2 linked regions of the Cricetulus griseus genome follow. The protein of the gene in region 2 interacts with the protein of the main gene of each other region in a biochemical or structural test. Links are inferred from orthologs where the notes say so. Each region holds a gene or a part of one and is shown on either strand. Other genes may lie near its edges.

Evidence for each region. The genes of interacting proteins can lie anywhere in the genome.
Region 1: the proteins of Lmna (region 2) and Emd form a complex in vitro, tested with the Homo sapiens proteins (4 studies listed by BioGRID and IntAct, with this or other methods). The link is inferred for Cricetulus griseus from reciprocal best matches to the Homo sapiens genes LMNA and EMD.

Annotation. Positions count from the first base shown.
Region 1 is NC_048604.1:1,458,181-1,461,413, forward strand, and holds part of Emd (emerin), read right to left. Parts: intron 1,945-3,233; 5' UTR 1,790-1,944; intron 1,246-1,789; 5' UTR 940-1,245; coding exon 858-939; intron 694-857; coding exon 586-693; intron 459-585; coding exon 381-458; intron 212-380; coding exon 78-211; intron 1-77. UniProt on the Homo sapiens protein: Stabilizes and promotes the formation of a nuclear actin cortical network. Stimulates actin polymerization in vitro by binding and stabilizing the pointed end of growing filaments. Inhibits beta-catenin activity by preventing its accumulation in the nucleus.
Region 2 is NW_023276806.1:66,025,480-66,029,926, forward strand, and holds the end of Lmna (lamin), read left to right. Parts: intron 1-304; coding exon 305-525; intron 526-614; coding exon 615-837; intron 838-1,456; coding exon 1,457-1,564; intron 1,565-1,660; coding exon 1,661-1,780; intron 1,781-2,175; coding exon 2,176-2,265; intron 2,266-2,968; coding exon 2,969-3,235; intron 3,236-3,497; coding exon 3,498-3,524; downstream 3,525-4,447.

The DNA of each region.
Region 1 (3,233 bases), on a different chromosome or scaffold from region 2:
TAATATCTCCTTGGACTTATCCAGACCCAGTTAGGATCCTCTCAGACTACATCCAGATATGCTGCCAGTCAACTCACCTGGTGATGGAAGGTGTGGGTATCTGCAAGTGAGGTCCCTGGCTGGCGAAAGCTCTTGGACATACCCACAGACTCGGGCTCCCCATATGTCCTGGTGGTCAAATAACTCTCCTCATAGTAGTCGTCATTATATTCTTGGGAAGGAAAAACAGTGGTAAAGGAGAAAGTGACCTCATGGCCCCAAATTCTGTGTGTGTGCTGTGACAGTTTCTCCACTCTAGAGCCATTGAGAACTGGGGTGAAGTCTTAGGTTTCCCTGTGCCCAAATTCCCTGATAAAGGACCCACCCCACACCTGTCTTACCCTTGCTCTGGTAAAGTAAGGCATCCTCTTTTTTGGGCAGATCATACATGTCTGAGTCCACGGAGGCTGAATCCAAGTCTGCATTAAGGGGGAGGTAGAGACCATTAGGCATCCCTCTATTCCCTCAATTGCTTCAGCCACACCCTCCCTCCCCAAGCCTTGTGTCTCCAAGCAGCTCAGCCAGGCTCTGCGGCGGGGGACTCACCTGAGAACCTGTAAGAGAATGAAGAGGATGACGAGTTGGGGGGCGAGAGCCTCCGTCTCTGGGTCTCGTACTCGAAGATTTTCTTTTCGTAGAGCTTGCGAGTGGAGCCTGGTCAGATACAGGGTGCGAGGCGGTCAGGGGGTGCGAGCTGGGCACCCCGAGTGCGCCGGGGAATACGGGGAGGGGACGAGGAGGTAGGGGATAACGCTCAGCGAGGAGCGCGGGAAAGCGGGGCCTGGGATAGGTTCTCCGCGCCACAGTCTGCCGCGTACCCACGATAGGCCCATGCGGGATGTTGTACTGGCGTAGCACGGCGGCCAGCTCAGTGTCGGATAAAACAGCATAGTCGTCCATGGCAGACCCGGCCGACACCGGGGAGCGGTGTTGAACGTAAGGGGTGGCCCGGGCCTATGGACACGGCCTAGGAAACGGACAGCTCCTAGAGCGACGAAGGAAGCTCCAGCGCCTTAGAAGCGGTTGTGGTCGCGTCACGCCTCCGTTACGTTTGCGTCACAGCCACGGCTACGCGGCCACGGCTACGCGAGTTGCGCGCGCTCCTTAGGGCAGGCTCAAACCCGCCAGAATGGCCGGTACAGACCGGTCTGGCGGTTGGAACAGGCGGGGCTGGAGAATGTAAACGTCACACTTGTGTGGGATTGGCTAGAACAGGAAGAGGGAGGGGCCTGTAGGAGAGCCAGGGGAGCAGCTGACTAGACTACCCAGGTTAGCTAGACGTTAGCAGAGGGTGTGTTAAGAGTTAGATGTGCTAGAGGGGCGGAAAAGGGTCTGTGGTTGGGAGACTGGGATCTCTTTGTCACTGGCTTCACTCCGATTTTATTTCTCAGTGCTCTAGCGAACTATGGTCCTCAGGGGCAGTCTGTTCCACAGCAATGCAAAGAGTCCAATCCTGAGAGCGAACCCTTTCAGACAGCCTGGTACTGCTGGGAACTCTTTGTGCACACTAGTGCCAAGAAACAGCTGCGATTCAGGGCTCTCATCACCTAAGTAGCCACCCGCAGACCCCTGGCCCGCCCCACCCATCTTCGCTGGTCTTCTCAGTCTCCGTGGCCCTGCCTGCCCCCTAGCTCCATCTGGGAGGAAATGGGGCAAGCAACTGGGCCAGGGAGGCTGCCAGCACTCCAGGACCAAGAAGCCTTCCAAAGGCCCCGAGACATGCCAGTGGTCATAATCAGAAGACACCCACCTTGTGATGCGTGTAGACGGGTACACTTTGTGCCTGTCTAACTCACATTTCCATCCACCTGGGGCCCTGAAGAGTTCTGCAGTAGAGTTCTTGTTTGGCAGAGTAGAATAACCCCTAAACTTGGTATGACCTTGGAGGCCATCAGGGTGCACAACCTAGAGGCAAACCGGGAATCAATTAAGGCTTACAAAGGATCTGTATCAGACAAAGGTTATCTCGAATAGTGACCATGTATTTATTGTTCTACACAAAGTCATCTGGAACTAGGTAGGCTGCCCCTTATTGGACAGACTTAGGAGGAGGGGTACATGCAGAAAAGGTGCCTGGGATACCTGATCTCTTAAAGCAGTGGTTATCAACCTTCCTAATGCTGTGACCTTTAATGCAGTTCCTCATGTTGTGGTGACCCCAACCATAAAATTATTTTCGTAGCTATTTCACAACTATAATTTTTCTATAGTTATGTTTGTTTTTTTTTTTTTTTTGGTTTTTCGAAACAGGGTTTCTCTGTGTAGCTTTGGAGCCTATCCTGGCACTCGCTTTGAAGACCAGGCTGGCCTCGAACTCACAGAGATCCGCCTGCCTCTGCCTCCCGAGTGCTGGGATTAAAGGTGTGCGCCACCAACACCCGGCTGAGAACCACTGTCTTAAATGATAGTGATAGTGAGTGTTCTGATCAGTTCTAGGCTGACCTGATGGCATTTAGGTGAAGGCCACAGGCCAATTCTTTATGGAAGTTTAAAGTAGGCAATGATGAGAAGGAGCCCTGTTTTGACCACATAAAAAAGTCGTTAATGAAGAAGGGTTGGTGTTGAATGGATTTAAAAGACAGTGCCCTCCTCTGTCCCTGGAAATGGAGCTATATGAATCCCTGGAAAAGATACTGTCTTACGAAGAGACAGGAGAACCTTGGGCAGGAGTGTGTGTAAGTGAGAGACAGAGTAGGGCAGAGAGAGACATTCTGTCCATTCAGAGGCTGCTTCATGAATATTTTTTAGTTTTGGCAAAATCAGATTTCCCAGCATTTCCCTCCCCCTATGCTGGCCCCTCTCCCAGAGGCCTCTGCATACAGAGTGATTGCTCAGTACTACCCTATGCCCCCCCTACAGAATCAAGTTGCTTCCTTATGAGGTCAAGGAATTTTAGGTTTGCCTTCTCCCTAAGGATCACCCTCTGCACCTGCCTCAGCACACTGCCTCTTAATCCCCTCACTATCCCACTATAAAATCCTATCACAGATGTTATCAGGAATCTGAACTGTGGTTTTCTTGCACAAACCTGGAGCTTAAGTCTAGTCCATTGCAGTGTAACTCCCTTCTCTACCATTCAGCAGAAGAATCAAGATCCCAGAGTCTAAAGAGGCTTTTGCAATAGCCCCAAATTGAGTGATTCATGGAAATATTCTCCACAGGAAGTACCTGGTCATCTAGGTGCTACAAAAGTC
Region 2 (4,447 bases):
TGTTAGATAGAGCTTCCTGGTTACTAGATAAGGCCATGGTGCCCCCCCCCTTTTTTTTTTCTTTCGAGACAGGATCTTTGTGTAACCTTGGCTGTCCTGGAACTCACTGTGTAGACCAGGCTGGCCTCAAACTCACAGAGATCCTCCTGCCTCTGCCTCCCGTGTGCTGGGATTAAAGGCATGCGGCACCACCACCTGGCTTGCCATGGTGTTTCTAAGGAGAGCCCACAGATCCTGCCCCCCCTTCTTCATTACTTTTGGCCCTTGGGCGCTCATCACACCTTGCCTTTCCCACCCATCCCAGTTGGCAGCCAAGGAGGCAAAGCTGCGTGACCTGGAGGACTCCCTGGCTCGAGAGCGGGATACTAGCCGGCGGCTGCTGGCTGAAAAAGAGCGAGAGATGGCCGAGATGCGGGCGAGGATGCAGCAGCAGCTCGATGAGTATCAGGAGTTGCTGGACATCAAGCTGGCCCTGGACATGGAGATCCATGCCTATAGAAAGCTGCTGGAGGGCGAGGAGGAGAGGTGAGCCAGGAGGGGTCGAAAGACGTTGGCAGGAGCCTCTGGACTGCAACTACCATGACTAACCCCCCACCTTGTCTCCACCTTCCCAGGCTACGCCTGTCCCCCAGCCCTACCTCGCAGCGCAGCCGTGGCCGCACCTCTTCTCACTCATCCCAATCGCAGGGTGGGGGCAGCGTCACCAAAAAGCGCAAGCTGGAGTCCACTGAGAGCCGGAGCAGCTTCTCACAGCACGCTCGCACTAGCGGGCGGGTGGCTGTGGAGGAAGTAGATGAGGAGGGAAAGTTTGTGCGGCTGCGCAACAAGTCCAACGAGGTGGGCCTCAGGATCAGAGTCTTGCATTCAATAGCTGGGCGACATTGGTTCTCATGGAGCATCCATCTCTCTGGGAATTTGGAGTGTGACAGTCCCTACATCTCTAAAATTGTTGGGAAGATGGAAGATACCAGTGTGTGTGGCACAGTATACATGTTCACACAGCCACAGTAGGACCCTTGAGGGATAGGGTAGAGAGGCTAGTAGGTTTGAATACCAGAGATGGTGGTGGCAGACCTGGTTTTTGTTGTTGTTGTTATTTTTTATTTTTTATTTTTTGGATCAAGCTATTCCCCCTGTCCCCATGCCTCAGTACCAAAATCTGTAGTAGCTGGGACTACAGGTGTACACTATGGCATCTGGCCTACCCCGGCTCTTTTGTGAGATAAGTACCAGGTTGAAGACAGACTTTGAAGATTCTCCCCCCCCCCCCATGGAAGGCCTCATCCTCCCCGGGGAGCAGAAAGGGGATGGGTTAGGGAGTTAGTGGGGGGCAGGGGAGTTAGAAGGAACTGGGATTGACATGTAAAACAAGCTTGTTTCTAATTTAAATGAAAAAATAGAAAAAAAAAAAAGTACCGGGTTGAGTCTCCCGTTCTCCTCCCTCCCTCACTGGCAGGACCAGTCCATGGGAAACTGGCAGATCAAGCGTCAGAATGGTGATGACCCCTTGATGACATATCGCTTCCCACCAAAGTTCACTCTAAAGGCTGGGCAGGTGGTGACGGTGAGTGGAAGGGTGTTTGGGATTCTGGAGTGGAGAAGTTGGCCTCTGGACAGGAGCGTTAAGAATAAACACACTTCTTAAACTGTCTTTTCCCAGATCTGGGCTGCAGGAGCTGGGGCCACCCATAGCCCCCCTACTGACTTGGTGTGGAAGGCACAGAACACCTGGGGCTGTGGGAACAGCCTTCGTACAGCTCTCATCAACTCCACTGGAGAAGTGAGTATGTTGCAGCCTGGACCAGGCTCCCCCTGGTGGCCATAATGAGAGTCAGCTGCCCTCAACCCAATGCAACCTTGAATCACGTTCCAAGTGCCCACCCAGTAAGCAAGCTAGAAGTCTCCCCAGCAGGGTAATGGGTGGAAATCAGCCAGTGAATGTTGTTAGCTGCAGACTCGGCCTAAAGAGAGCTGATCTCCCAGGGGTGTCCTTTCTATATGTGTGCACAAGCACACTCCTTGACTCCAGTGTTAGAGGTCAGAGCAAACAGCCGGTTAGGGCAGAGCCTGGGAAGGTTCTAGGTGGTTATAGAGGGTTCTGGGAAGGTACTATGGGTAGACAGGCTGCATGGCCCCCACCCCCTGACTCTTGGGCCTGGGCCTATGTTCCCATAGGAAGTGGCCATGCGCAAGCTGGTGCGCTCAGTGACCATGGTTGAGGACGATGAGGATGAGGATGGAGATGAACTGCTCCATCACCACCACGTGAGTGGCGGCCGCCGCTGAGACCCAGCCCACATGGGTAGCCCTACCAGCCTAGGGCAGCTCCCCCACCTCTATGCCAAAGGTCTTTTCATTAAAGAATGTTTTGGAATGCCACTTGCTGCCCTGGCCTTTCTTCTCTCTCCTCCCTCTACCTTGAACAGGGAACCCAGGTGTCTGGTAAGGAAGGGAGTGGGAACTTTCTGGTGCCAAGGACTGTTCCACGGTGGCAGTGGACAAGGATCTGGATTTGTCTCCTGGGAAGGGGATGGGAGGACAGAGATGGCCCCAGCCCTGCCTCTCCCCTCCCTGCATGCATTCCTCTGCTGTCTCTTCTTCATCTGCTGCATGCTTCTTCTCACGTTCCCCTTATTTCCCGGCAACAGTGATTTCTCTCATTCCTGTCCCCTCCCTCACAAATTAAATATCTCCATCTCTGATCTCCCTCCCAATTTCCCTGTGAGATCCTAGGATTCAGGACAGTGTGAAAGCCACACCTCTCCATCTCGAAGCCTTCCTGGCCATTTTCCCCTGTCATGTCCTTCCTCCTAGCCACAGGCCTCCCAAGTCCCTATTCACTCCAGCTGTCTGGGTACAGAGGTCATCTTCCTGCCCAATGGCCAGGAAACTATAGGAGCCCAGAGCCTGGTCCTAAGCAGTCAGTCCCAGACGCACTGTCCCTCCTGAGCCTTGTCTCCCTTCCCAGGGCTCCCACTGCAGCAGCTCGGGGGACCCCGCTGAGTACAACCTGCGCTCACGCACCGTGCTGTGTGGGACTTGTGGGCAGCCTGCCGACAAGGCTGCCAGTGGCTCAGGAGCCCAGGTGGGCGGATCCATCTCCTCTGGCTCTTCTGCCTCCAGTGTCACAGTCACTCGAAGCTACCGCAGTGTGGGGGGCAGTGGGGGTGGCAGCTTCGGGGACAGCCTAGTCACCCGCTCCTACCTCCTGGGCAACTCCAGTCCCCGGACCCAGGTAAGTCATCATCGATCTGCATCTACCCCTACAGCAGGACACTGCTCACTAAGCAGCAGGGCAGGGCAGGCCACGGGAGTGGGACCCTCCTCCTTGTAGCCCCTCTTACACCCTGCCCCTCCTGTCTGAACCCCAGACTTGAGGGCAGGGCCAGAGCCAGAGGGTGAGGGTTGGGGGGACACACACCCCTTTGGGGTCAGGGAGGGAAAGGATGGGCCAGCCACTGTGCTCGCTCACATCTCTGCATTCTCTTCTCTCTTAGAGCTCCCAGAACTGCAGCATCATGTAATCTGGGACCTGCCAGGCAGGGGTGGGGCCAGAGGCCACCTGCTCCCACCTCACCTCATGCCCACCTCCTGCTCTGCACCTAATGGGAGCAGGCCTGAAGCCAAAGAAAAAATTTATTTCCTGCCTTTGGGTTTTTTTTCTTCTTCTTCTATTTTTTTTTCTAAGAGAAGTTATTTTCTACAGTGGTTTTATACTGAAGGAAAAACACAAGCAAAAAAAAAAGTCTCTATCTCAATCCTAAGTCCTTCCCATACTTTCCCTGTATCTGCCTTAAAATCAATGGGCTTCTTTCTCCAAGGAGCCCAGGGAAAGGACTGCTTTTATAACGGCTAGTTTTTGTCCTGCTGCCTTGGCCTTGCGCTTATCCCAGCACCCTGTGACATGGTGCCTGAGAGGCAGGCGTGGAGTTCTCTTCATCAGCCTCCTCCAGACAGCTGGCCCACTGCCACGCCGGCTGCAGAGAAAGGGGGTGCAGAGGGGATGGCTGAGAGAGGTCAAGCCCCTCCTGGTTCCACTGCACTTGGCTGAGCCTCCTCTGCCTGCCTTATACTCTTCCTGCCCCTCCCTAGCCTGGGGTCAGTGGATTCTCCCAGGCACCCCTGCCATGCTTGCTTTTTCTATATTTTATTTAGACAAAGATGGGAGTGAGGTGGGAGGAGGAGGGAAGGCCAGTCTGAGCCTGCCTTTTCCCAGCTTTAGAGCCTGGTGGGCCCTGTCCAGTCACTGGAAGGCAAAATCAAGTGGGAAGAGTGAGAAAGTAGGCTGCTGCAAAGGGCGAGAGCCGGCTGCGGCCCTGCCACAAGGGAGGCCTGTGAGTAGAGTAGAGTAGAGGGTGTGATGATTGGTGGTTACGGTAAACACTAAGGAGCCCTTCACCCCATTTCCCATCTGCACCTCTGCTCTCCCTCCAAATCAATACACTAG